3 linked regions of the Nothobranchius furzeri genome follow. The protein of the gene in region 1 interacts with the protein of each later gene in a pairwise test. Links are inferred from orthologs where the notes say so. Each region holds a gene or a part of one and is shown on either strand. Other genes may lie near its edges.

The links.
Region 2: the proteins of txlnbb (region 1) and washc3 interact in binary tests that used the Homo sapiens proteins (3 or more experiments, as listed by UniProt). The two-hybrid records come from large-scale screens. The link is inferred for Nothobranchius furzeri from reciprocal best matches to the Homo sapiens genes TXLNB and WASHC3.
Region 3: the proteins of txlnbb (region 1) and nmi interact in binary tests that used the Homo sapiens proteins (3 or more experiments, as listed by UniProt). The two-hybrid records come from large-scale screens. The link is inferred for Nothobranchius furzeri from reciprocal best matches to the Homo sapiens genes TXLNB and NMI.

The regions. Positions count from the first base shown.
Region 1 is NC_091758.1:20,072,753-20,076,865, forward strand, and holds the start of txlnbb (taxilin beta b), read right to left. Parts: upstream 2,847-4,113; 5' UTR 2,724-2,846; intron 112-2,723; 5' UTR 73-111; coding exon 1-72. UniProt on the Homo sapiens protein: Promotes motor nerve regeneration. May be involved in intracellular vesicle traffic.
Region 2 is NC_091741.1:43,372,322-43,376,439, reverse strand, and holds the start of washc3 (WASH complex subunit 3), read left to right. Parts: upstream 1-1,301; 5' UTR 1,302-1,436; coding exon 1,437-1,487; intron 1,488-2,983; coding exon 2,984-3,082; intron 3,083-3,184; coding exon 3,185-3,250; intron 3,251-3,322; coding exon 3,323-3,460; intron 3,461-4,118. Other genes in the region: uncharacterized protein, read right to left, coding at 3-205, 926-959. UniProt on the Homo sapiens protein: Acts as a component of the WASH core complex that functions as a nucleation-promoting factor (NPF) at the surface of endosomes, where it recruits and activates the Arp2/3 complex to induce actin polymerization, playing a key role in the fission of tubules that serve as transport intermediates during endosome sorting.
Region 3 is NC_091746.1:33,689,382-33,693,032, forward strand, and holds part of nmi (N-myc-interactor), read right to left. Parts: intron 3,570-3,651; coding exon 3,463-3,569; intron 2,042-3,462; coding exon 1,855-2,041; intron 1,405-1,854; coding exon 1,301-1,404; intron 615-1,300; coding exon 414-614; 3' UTR 1-413. UniProt on the Homo sapiens protein: Acts as a signaling pathway regulator involved in innate immune system response.

The sequences.
Region 1 (4,113 bases):
GATGTGGTGATCCTCGACCGGAGATGCCTCGGGACCGGTGGGGGCAGTGCTGCTCTCCTGACAAGCCTCCATTATTCTGAGCTAGTAGCAACACAAAGGAGACAGTTGCCTCTGCACGAGAGACCAAAAATAAATCATTTACAGACAGATCACGGCTGCTCTGTCTGTTATCTCACAACAAAAATGCTTTGATCACTTTTTCACATAAAAAAAAATCTGTTTTCATCGTTGAATTAAACATCATATCTGAGGTTTTATAGAAACAGTCTCCCCATTACAAACAAAAAACATGTTAGGATTTTTTAATATTAGTGTCACGATCTGCCCCTGCCCAACCTGACTGTGTTCCTCTCCTGCCGTGATTGCCCTTATTGTTCTCACCTGTCCCTCGTTTACCTGCCCATGTTTCCCTAATTAGCGGTCCATCATCTCCACCTCCTACACCGTGACAATTAGTTTGTGTAGCCACATCTGATTTATTTGTACAATTTAGGCCACTTTAAAAGTGGTTTACTGGAAAGAAAACCATAAAAGATCATAAAAGCGGGGGTTCCGCTTTTTGAAGTGTTTCTCTTAAAAGGCCAAAAGCAATGAATATCTTACATCCTCCATAAAGCCTTTTGGACAACATCAGTTAGGACGGGTGGACATTGTGTGGCTTTCACTCGTAGCATTCAGCTCCATCTCAAACTGGATGACTTCCTCGCAGAGCAAAGCTCACATGTTCTCTCACTGTACTGTTCACACTGTATGTGTGCTAGCAACACATCGGAGCTAAAATATGCTACAAATAGTCGTTTTTACGCAACATGTCAGACTTTCGATTTCTAAAACCTGTTGTGTTGTTACTGGTGGGTTTTTTTTCAGCATTTATTTGGAAAAATGAACATATTCAAACTATGTTATTAATGTGTGTTATCCTTCGGGCTTGCCATAGAAGGACAACATGGGGTTTATGGGGGTTTGAGAAGGAAGACAAAAGAAAGGAAGTAAAACAATGTTTTATTTGGCATAAAACACACTTTCTTGACAATCCTTGTCACTGTGTGTAGAGAAAAGTATAAAAATAAGTAATACAGCTTGAGTTGATACGAAAATAGCTGACGAGCCGTGTTGGTGCATGCGCTGTGTGAGCAGTTCTGGTACTTTTGGCTCGCAGCGCTGTTCCAACAGTGTGATAACCTCACGAGGGATGAGGAAAATATCAAACATGTTTGATATTTGTGCAATTACTGATTGGGAGCTGGTCGTGCGGTGCTAATCGCCTCTCGTAATCCCTGTATACTACTGGACACACAACACCAAACTCGCCTCAACCTCAAAGATTCTCACATGAGAACGCCTGGCTTTAAGAGGAACAGAAATTATCTCTGGTATGACAAACAAGCTGGTCTACCGTAGCCTTTTAAGCATTTAATTTCAGAAATGCTAAAGCAGCTAGTTTCTGCTGCAAACCACCAGAGTCTTATGTAGTTAATTCACACTAACTACTGTGAGGCTTTTGAGATATTCCTAATCAGTCTGTGACTTGCCCCACTGAGATCAGCATTTGTCCAGTCAGAACTCATCTCTGCTTCTCCAAACTGAGGTTGTTCAGTGCTATCCACAACAGCTACAGTATCCAAACCTGTGATGTTTAAGAGCAACAACGAGTACATTTACAGCCTGAATTTTTGTGTGTTTGATGCCTAAATTAGCAGCACTTAAATGATAAAGAAATCTTCAACTATGTAACCTGACATTAAAATCAACACCTTGAAATTCAGTCTAAAAACCTCATATCAAGTGTTTTTCCTCCATTTGAGCACCTTGCAGATCCTAACAAGATTTACAGAGAAAACTGGTTGGAGATTTCACATACATATTGTTGAGTGAAATCATAACAGATTAATCAGAATTAAGCAGATTCCACCACCAAGAAGCTTTTCTTATTTAAATATTCTATGCTGCTGAAGTTGTTTTTGTTTATTAGACTAAAAACATAACTTTGGTGCACATTTCTTTTGCAGAAACAGAAATACGCACCAAATAATGCTCTAGATGAAATATCTGAATGCCTTTTTTTTATATGAATTTCAATGTCTTTGCAGCAGCGAGGTGATAAACCCGAACAAAGCTTTCCTGGTGTAGTAAAGTCCATCATGCTTGTATCTGTGGAGTCGTACTCGCAGCCAGAGCCTGTTTAGATGCATATAATTAGCTTTCACAAGAAGAGCAAATGGCACCTGTTCCAGACCCACAAGCTATTTTAGGAACTTCTTAATATGGGCATGTTGTTTATTATTTAATTCTATTCCACTCTTTTTTTATGTCAGGGTCAGTGTTTCTTGAAAACATCTTTTTATTGTGGTTAAACTTCAAATAAAGACAAATATCTCTGATCTTTTAACGCTTTTATAAAGAAGTACATGTTAAAATGGAAATTTTACAGAGCTATGTGTAGGAAAACTCTTTTAACTATGCAGCGTTTCATTAGAGGTTAAAATGTTCCCTTTTCTCTCACCAGCAGACAATTTTAACTTCTGACAGCAAATGACGCAGGAAAGTCTCACTGCAATTAACAGCATCTCATCTTCAACAGACTTGGCAAACTCCAAACCGCCACTGGAGTCAGTCCCACGTTTGTTAGACGTGTGAGACAGATGTTAGGAAACCAAGAATTCTATGTTATTTGTGTGCAAATATCAGAAAAGAAGCAGGGTAAAGAGCAGGCAGGGTCTTACCAGGACTGAGGGCCAGATGGGGAACAGAAAGAGTGTGGAGGGGCTCGGACAGGCGGCCACCACTGATGCAACAGCTGTGATAAGAGCCCCTCAAAATAAACCAGGAGAGAGCAGCTCACTGCTCAGAGAGGGAGGACGCTCTGCAGCTCATCTCTGCTGCAAACCTCAGAGTAAAACTCGTTATTTGGTGTTGCACCTTTGCTACTTTAGATCAACGCAGTGCTGATTTAATTTTAAGCTTCGCTCCTATTAGTCATGAAAAGAGACTGAGCAGGAGAGAAGAGAAAACGCTGTTTCTCAGACTGGCCTGATAAGCCTTTCTTTCAGTTTTTTTTATTTTTTTACACAATCTGCTGATTTTGAGCTGACAGTTAAATTCTGAAAGCGGCTGAAAACTATCTACAAGGTGAACACTACTTTTGGAAGCACCCATTTTATTTTACCTCCACGCTGCAGCTGCAGTATTCAATTTTCGCCACCAGATGTAGCTATTACAAGTTTCACACTGGAGATATTTTTTTTCTGCCTCCCTAAAGACAGAAAGTGAATGATGGGCTCTAATTTAAACAGTTGTGAACCGCACAGGTGGAATGATAATGAGAGACCGATGTAGTTGGGGAGGGAGATAATCCAGCATCATTATCCAGCTCAGCACCATTGAAACTGAATATTACTCTCAATAATTATATTTCACGTTGTAAAAAGTAATAAACAGACCACAAAAAATTCTCCTCCTTCTGATTATATGAGATTAATATCTGTTGACAGGGCCCAATGTCTAATTTAATTCTTTGATGTAGGAATCCATTTTCTAAACGTGGGGAAATAAATATACCATATCTAAAATTGAAATCATCTTTTGGGGGGGGGGGGGGGGGGGGGGGGGCACCGGTGCATTTCCAGGAACCAAAAGTGAGCCTCATCACAGCTGTCTTATTTTCTGACATTTGGACATTTTACCTCAGATTACTTAACAGCAACGCACCTCTAACACTGACTGGCTTTTCTAATCCTTGTTTCACCATAGCAGGACATATGTGTGGGAGACTATTTTCATGTTCAGCCAGCATAACTTAGTGACTGATCAGAAATAATAATAAAAAATATGTTTTCAGAGTTAAGGTTATAAATCTGGCCACGTGCAAAGTAGCAGCTACGCTAGGGAGATGAGATTCTGCGCCGACGTCATATTTGCAAGTTTGCAACTTCTGCTTTGTAATTTTTTTATTTATGACTTTTTTAAGCAAATAAATCTCAAATTACGTGACAGACATAGTCAAAACACATAATTATTTATCATTTAAATTGAAGTAAAACATATTTGTGATTCAGTGCGTAAGCTAAAGCGGACCAGGAAATAACTTTGACAGCCCCGTTCACTTATGTTCAG
Region 2 (4,118 bases), on another chromosome or scaffold:
ACCCTGGCCTTCAATCCGAGAAGGAGATGCGCTCTCTGTCTGTGGTTGATCAAACCAGGAACTGCTTCTGTCAGCATGGACACAAACTCCTGCAGCTTCCCATAGTTCATCACATCTTTCCCCTTCATCAGATTCCACATAGCAGCAGACAGAAGATGCAAGGGAGGCACCAGGAGGCGAAAGGAGGGCAAAGGGAAGTTTGGGTCTGAAACATTAATGTGTAAAGTCAGAAATGACCGATGGAGGGCAGTAACACACCCCCTAATTCAGAGAGCATTCAGAGTACTTGCAGGAAACAGCAGGTGGATAAAATTTTCACGATGTGATTTTGCAAAGTTCTCACATTTTACACATAACTGAAACAGTTATTGGCTTCATACAGATAATTAAAAACAATCAAGCAATAAAACAATCACGTGATCTGTTACATTGTTGTCTGTCATTTGCTTGCTTGCTTGCTAAAGTCACTGAGACCAGTCAGTGACTGGATGCAGTTTGCTGGGTTCCTTATATAGGAAACTTTTTTTCCTGATTGGCTTAATGAACTGACCTGTATTGGAATGTTAACTATGTGAAGTGCCTCGAGACGACTCTTGTCGTGATTTGGCGCTGTATAAATAAACTTGAATTGAATTTGAGCTACAGGCTTTTGAACTGGAGAAAATCCTGGACAGATCTTTAACATTTTAGATACACAATCTGGAAAATGTCCACAGATGTTACTCAAAAGCTTCGCAACTTAGTTAAAACAATATATCGCGTAAGAGTGTCTGTACATTTAACAGCAAGCTAACTTCCACTGCGCAACAACAACAGTCTGCCAAATAATGAACATTGTGGTTCCTTTAAATAGACAGAGCCCACTGATAGTAAAACAAACACGTCTCCAGAAAATATCAGAAAGGCAAACTGGTAACATACATACCCTCCATTTTTTCTTTTGATTCCACAACTTCCATTAAAGCATCCCACCAAGTGAATTTGAGGAATCTGTGTATATTTGTGCTGTTTGTTTTGGTGGCTAATGCGCTATTAGAGCGCAAGCATCGCTTCCTCAAGTATTCACTCAAGTTTCCGCTTTTCAAAATATATGTCTGAAAGACGTGTTTTGGTGTTTTCTAATGAATTTCAGAATGCTATTATTTTCAAGTTCTTTTTTACTTCAAAGCCAATGACTAGATAAAGAAAAAGTTTAGAAAATTTCGACAGCTCGAAATATAAAAGTGTGAATTCGAGTGCATTGATGCCTCTTCAAAATAAAAGTTAATCATTTCCTTTTCCTAGAGTGACGTAATCACGTAGCCAGTCACACTGCTCAGTGTCACGTGAAGCCTTCAACGGTGTAAATGTTTTGTTTCATGTCATTTTTTCTTTCAAATTTCGTGCCATTAGACCTGAAACCACATTCCTATTCACAGGAAGTGTAAAACGCTAACATGGACGAGGACGGCCTGCCGTTAGTCGGGTCAGGAGTCGATCTTACGAAGGTTTGTGTTTCTAACTGGTTAGCTAACACTGAAAACCTGAGAACCCAAAGCTATGTTTGTGCTTTTTAACAAAATATATAATCACTAATGCAGAGAAAACTGTGGCCTTTTTCTAACTAATTTCACCTACTTGTAACTGTTTGCCTAGTCATTTTCCTTTTGGTTTGTTCTAAAGAAGTATCAAAAGAGGAAAGAACGTTTTCTCTCCGAACACTGATGTTCTATTTGAATACATCATTCATTAGATTCTATTACCGGTGTTGTGCCGAAAAGAGCTTGTCTGCGAAAATGTGCATCCCCTGCGGGAAGGCGCGTATGAGACCGCTTTTTAATAAATGTGTACAACATGAGCTGCATCCTTCCTTACAAAATGATGGTTTATGAGCAAATAAGTAAAATAAACTACTGTTTATAACATGTTTTATTTTAAGTAATATAATGCACATATAAAAGGTTAGTCATTTTGAGTCTGCTTTTTTAAACCAACAAAATTGTTTAATACTTGCTAAAACATTAGTGTCAAACGTGTTGAAAAAGGTCAATTATTTAATCATTATTTCATCATATTTGTAGTCAAAAACAAAATCTTTTCAGGAGAAACACGGATTAGAAACGTGTTCAAATTCTGAATTGCTCATAATTCAAATTCTTCTTCAATTTGCGTCTTTCGACGGGGATACACATTTCGGTAGGCGTGCTCTTTTCGGCACAACACCTGATATACAGTAGTCTGTTATTCCAAATGTTTTTCCTCCACACCGATTTGCATCCATTATATGCAAAGTCAGACATGTGGGTAGAGTAGCCAGAGATTATACTCAAATAAGAGTAGCATTACTTTCATATATGTTTACTTGAGTAGTTAAAAAAAAGTACAAAAACTGTGTTTGCAAAAAAGCTGCTCAAATAATGAGTAATCATAACAGCTCCTTTAATTTATAAAATCCATTCAAACAGATAATAGTATAATGTTATATGATAAATTATATAATGTAAAGACTTAATTAAAATGTTGCATTTCTTTTTCCTAAAAATACTCAAGTAAATATAATTAGTAACTACCCAACACAGAAAATCAGATTTGATAGTTTTCATCATTCTTTTTGCCATTAGCATTTTGTTTGATGCAAGACTTTAAAGGTAGAACTCAGCTGCTTTTAAAATTCTCTCAAATACTTGAAACTTTGCAATAATCCACAGGTTACTGTATGTTATTGTGTTGTTTAAATAACACTGCTAACACATGACCCTGGTCTGTTTATGTAGATGTTGTTTATTCTCCCTGGTGTTAATTGTTGTTTTGTACTGCTTTGTTTCAATAAAGATTTACAAAAAACATTTTAACAGCAGTAGTTAAAAGTCATTTTAGAATCCCCTCAATATTATTTAAAGCCATAACATTCAAAAATCAATTATACTAGAGGTTTATGTTTAGTAAAATAAACTATAGTAACACTTGGTAAGTTTTTAATTATACTGCTTTTATCTTTTCTCAGGTTCCTGCAATACAGCAGAGACGAATCGTTGGATTTCTCAACCAGTTTGTTGTGCACACCGTACGATTTCTTAACCAGTTTTCCACCGTGTGTGAAGAGGTTTGTGTTTGTTTGTTTGTTTTTTACTCCTTAATGCTTCTTCTGCCTCAGAATATGAACTCAAATTATGTATTTATTTATTTTTTTTACTTCTCTTCACAGAAACTTGCAAACATTTCTCTTCGCATACAGCAGATTGAAACCACACTCAGCATTTTAGAGGCTAAGGTAACTTGTGAGACCTTGATACCGTTTCTGGATGTTGTCTTTTCACTTATGCAGTGACATTGTTCTGAGCAGCTGTCCTCTATTCCTGGACTGGAGGACGTCACAGTAGAGGGCCTCAACCAACAGCAGGCCTCCCACACTAAAGGACCCAGTACTATCGGTCAGAACCTAACTAACGGTGTAGCAGCAGGACCACCTTCTTCCTCAGAGGTAGGAGTTCAGACCCACCTGCAACAGACATGCAGGTTCAATCGGCCACGATGAATGCCAAAACAGTCTTTGTGTCTTTTTTCTTGTTTGGGAGTCTGTGATGCCAAAAATCGGCAGTTGAACTTTTCTTTTTAAGTCGGAATGTAGATTGTCATCAGCTCTTTGGTCGATGCAACAAGTAGAAACCTGCCGTCAACGCAACTGTTGTTTTGTTTTCTTTTGGAGTTTACGTACAAAAAAGGCTCAACATTCCCCTCCTGTTGTAAAGGATAGACTTTTAGTTTTGAGAACCTTCAAAGAAGTATGTTTGTTACTGGCTGCTTTGTTTGCATAGTGATCGGATTGGATTTTGATTGTCCTCCTCACACTCTGACAGGATTGTAAAATCCTATCCAGAAGTGTGACGTTACATATTTACAGTGAGAAAGGTGGAAAACCTTCAGGGCAGATTTCCTGAGTCTGCAGCACAGAGTTCAGGCCGAGGTCAGTAAACAAGCCATCACTTTTGGTTAAAACAGTGCACCAGGTCAGCTCAAACACCTCCTGTCCTCTGTAAAGCACGGTGGCAGGGGGCTGATGATTTGGGCTTATTTCTGCAGTGACTGAGTCAAACATGAACTCCTCTTTACACCAAAGTGGTCAGACTTAAACTGAAGTA
Region 3 (3,651 bases), on another chromosome or scaffold:
GCCAGATGAATCCTGCTGACCACATACGGTCAGTGGTGGAAAAGGACAGAGCTCTGGTGGGAAATCTCCAAAAAGCCTCAGAGACAGTTCCCTCCACATGGTCCCTAGGCATCTACAGTCAGTCAGGAAGTGACAGGACTTTCTAGGTGTTTAGATGCGTGTGATACTGATTATATGTTTATAGAGACAACTAGGCAGCTTTGATTTAATAACTCACAAAGTTAATGTGTAAAAACTTACATTTCCAATAGATTTTGATTATTGAAAAACAAAAATTCCTCCACCAAGAACCACCTCAAACATCTTAACAATCCCTCCACTTTTGCCAAACAATCAGATAGCTTTAATGATCAACCGTTTTTTTTTTTTTACAGAAGGATGTAATAAACGTTCAAACTGAGGATACGACAATTTCACTCCACGTCCATCTTGTCCTCAGAGAAGAAAGCCTGGAGAGTCTTGCCCTCGGAGATGTAACGAATGCACTCAATCTCACCACCGCTGTTGCTGGGCTTCTGAAAGTGGATTTCAAGGTGGTCCTGCAGGTCCTCCTCATCTTCTTTACCCCCAATGACGTCCAGAAGGATGGTTCGTTTTACAGAACCACAAAATGTCTGGAACACACAGATGAGATCTTAGTTAAGAAGTACTCTGTACAAAAATATGAACACAAAACTTTGTTTTTGCTCTTATTTTTCATGAGTTCAACTCAGAGATCTGAAACATTTACTATAAACACTAAAGACCCATGACTCTCAAATAATGTTCACAAATCTGTCCAAATCTGTGTCAGTGAGCACTGAGATCATCTATACCACCTCACAGATGTGGCATACCAAGGTGCTGATTAGCATGAATCTGCACAGGTGTGCCTTAGACTGGCCACAATAAAAGGCCACTCTGAAAAGTGACGTTTGACCACACAGCAGAATGACATTAATGTCACCTGCTCATTAATATGAGCAGGTGGACAACTAACACAGATACATTTTATTAATGGCATTTTGTCCCTGGGCAAGACACTGAGTCATTTATCATGTTTCCTCTTGACTGAGAACATGAGGGTTAGGGAGGTGTTACCGCAGATCAGGAGCAGGACTCATCAGATCTGAACCAAGATGATAACTGATGTTAACACGTTCAACCGTCAGTTCAATCTGAAATTGTTTTCAGATTTTAATATTATGTCTCAGGTTTTGCAGGAATTCTGATGTTCTCTGGCTTAGATCTCATTGGGACACGTGCTCCTAATCGAACTAGTGTGTGAAGGACTGGCTGTTCTTTAATAAACTTTCCTCACCTGAAACTTTTGCAGATCATATCTATATGTTGGTTCAACCTTCAGGTGTTCTTCATGTTCTAGATCAACGATGTAATCTCCTCTCATGGCCAGGTCCACAGCAACTACAGATAGGTGTTAGTCATAACACACACACACACACACACACACACACACACACACACACTGAAATGAGATTATTCCATATTTTCATGTGTGTCTCCTAAAGTCGCCAAAGGCCTTCAGATCTGTAGCTAGTGAATTATTAGAAAAGTACTGGAGGGGCCTGAATACTTTCTAAACACAGCAACAAGTGGCTAAGCTAGCCACACCGGTAGCTAGTGGTTTGAAATAGTATTTTTGCAGCTGTAGCATCACCAGACCAAACAGAATCAGGAAGCAGCAACAGATAAAAAGCATGTCAGAGCGTTGACCTAATAAGCAGATTAAAGCTGCCTGTTACCGAGGCAGAACCTGATATAACGGATTTTCTGCTGAATGAAAAATGCGTACACAAAACCTGTCCAAGTTAACCACGACCTACAGCAACAGCAGAAGTATGTAGGTAAAAGTACCTCCAGGATGTAGAAATATCACGCGTCCCTTTCTGCTCTCCTCATCGTAATCCACACTCTCCACCTCTCCTCCACCCCGGCTGCTTTTAGAAAAACTCATCTCCAGTCTGTCCTTTATCCTCTCCTCTGGCATGGAAGGAGGGACATCCAGAACTTGTAGCTCCTTCCTGGACATATCAAGGTGGACCTACATCCAAATCACTATTAGAAATGAGGTTCTGATGGTAATAAGAGAAGCCCACCCCATCCTCACACCTGACCTGCAACCCAACCCAGCATCCCACCCAAGAATCCCATTCCAGCTTTCAATCCCAGAATTTGTCCTAAAAGTGGAACTGGGCTGTAATCTAACTTCTTTACAGACAGAAGGATTGTGGGTATTTATCTTGTGCAGATTACCAGCGCCTCAAATAGTGTGCAAAAGTTTTAGGCAGGCACGAAGAAATGCGGTCAACAAAGAATGCATGCAAAAATATAAATGAAGATCTTTTTATTTTTTTTTATCAATTTACAAATGTCACAAATGAGAACTTTTTGAAGCAGCTTGTTTTAGGCACATAATAAATAATAATAAATAATAGCTTACTGCCTTTGTGTGGTTACCTGTAATCTTATTATCTTCCTCTTCCTTTTTAAGTGTGTGTGCTGCTGTAGCAGGTGAATTTCCCCACTGTGGGATTAATAAAGTCTATTCTATTCTATTCTATTCTATTCCCCAAACCAATCTCTGACAGAAAACGAATGGATGGATTTTTTCACGTTTAGAGTGTTTATAGACAGTAGAGAACCAAGCGGCAGCACAAAAGGATTCAAAAGGTGGCATTTGCATACCGTATGTCTCCTTTAATAAATAGATACTTTATGATTTTATTTCATTTTTATTTACTGCGTTAACAACATAAATCATATTTGATTTTAGATTAAATTAGTTTTTGAATATATATAGTTTTGTTAAATCCTTATTTTAAAGGTTGAGTTAACTGAAAAACCATTTTTAATGATTAATTCTGATTATAAACAGTACCTCTGGGATTTTCCTGTAAGCTGAACATGAAAATAGTCTCCTACACCCATCTCCTGCATTAGCTTCTGATAGAACATAGACGATCAAATTTTAGGATTAGAAAATCCTGACACATCTACGTCACACTGTCACCTAACATTTATGGACTCACCCATCTTGAATCACGACGAAGAAGTTTGTTGTTGGTTTTGCGTCCAGAGATCAGCAGCGGAAATCTCGGCTAGTTTAAGCTAACTATTAGCATTAGCAACTTCACCACACAGCAGAACTCCTTCAGGCTTGTGTTATTGGTGGAGACAAGATATCCACATTGCAAGTCAGTGGTAGAGTCGTGTTGCTGTTATCCAATCTGGTGCGAGATGTCCAAATGTCAGGAAATGAGACTCCTGCACCTGCCGTCTGAAGCTCAGTTGTGGTGTGGGAAATGTTTAGATCTGAGAAAAGGTGAACCGGTATACCCCCCCCCCCCCCCCCCCAAGAGAATAACTTACGAGGCATTCAATCCTACTAGAGACCACTGCAAATGTACTGATTAAATGAGCGAACCACTCCTTTAAGTCGCTGTGAAGTATCTGAAACGTTACCTCAAACGTCACAGGTGTTTCCATGGTGATTCTTTTAGGTTTGACATCCAGAGAGGAGTCCTCACAAGTCACCCGGCAGTGGGCCATTTTCAGGATCTGAGAAGCCACTGGAGGACCAAAAACACCACATACTCGTTTTCACCAGGAACAACAGCTACCCTGATACCTCTGTCTCTGACTGACAGCACT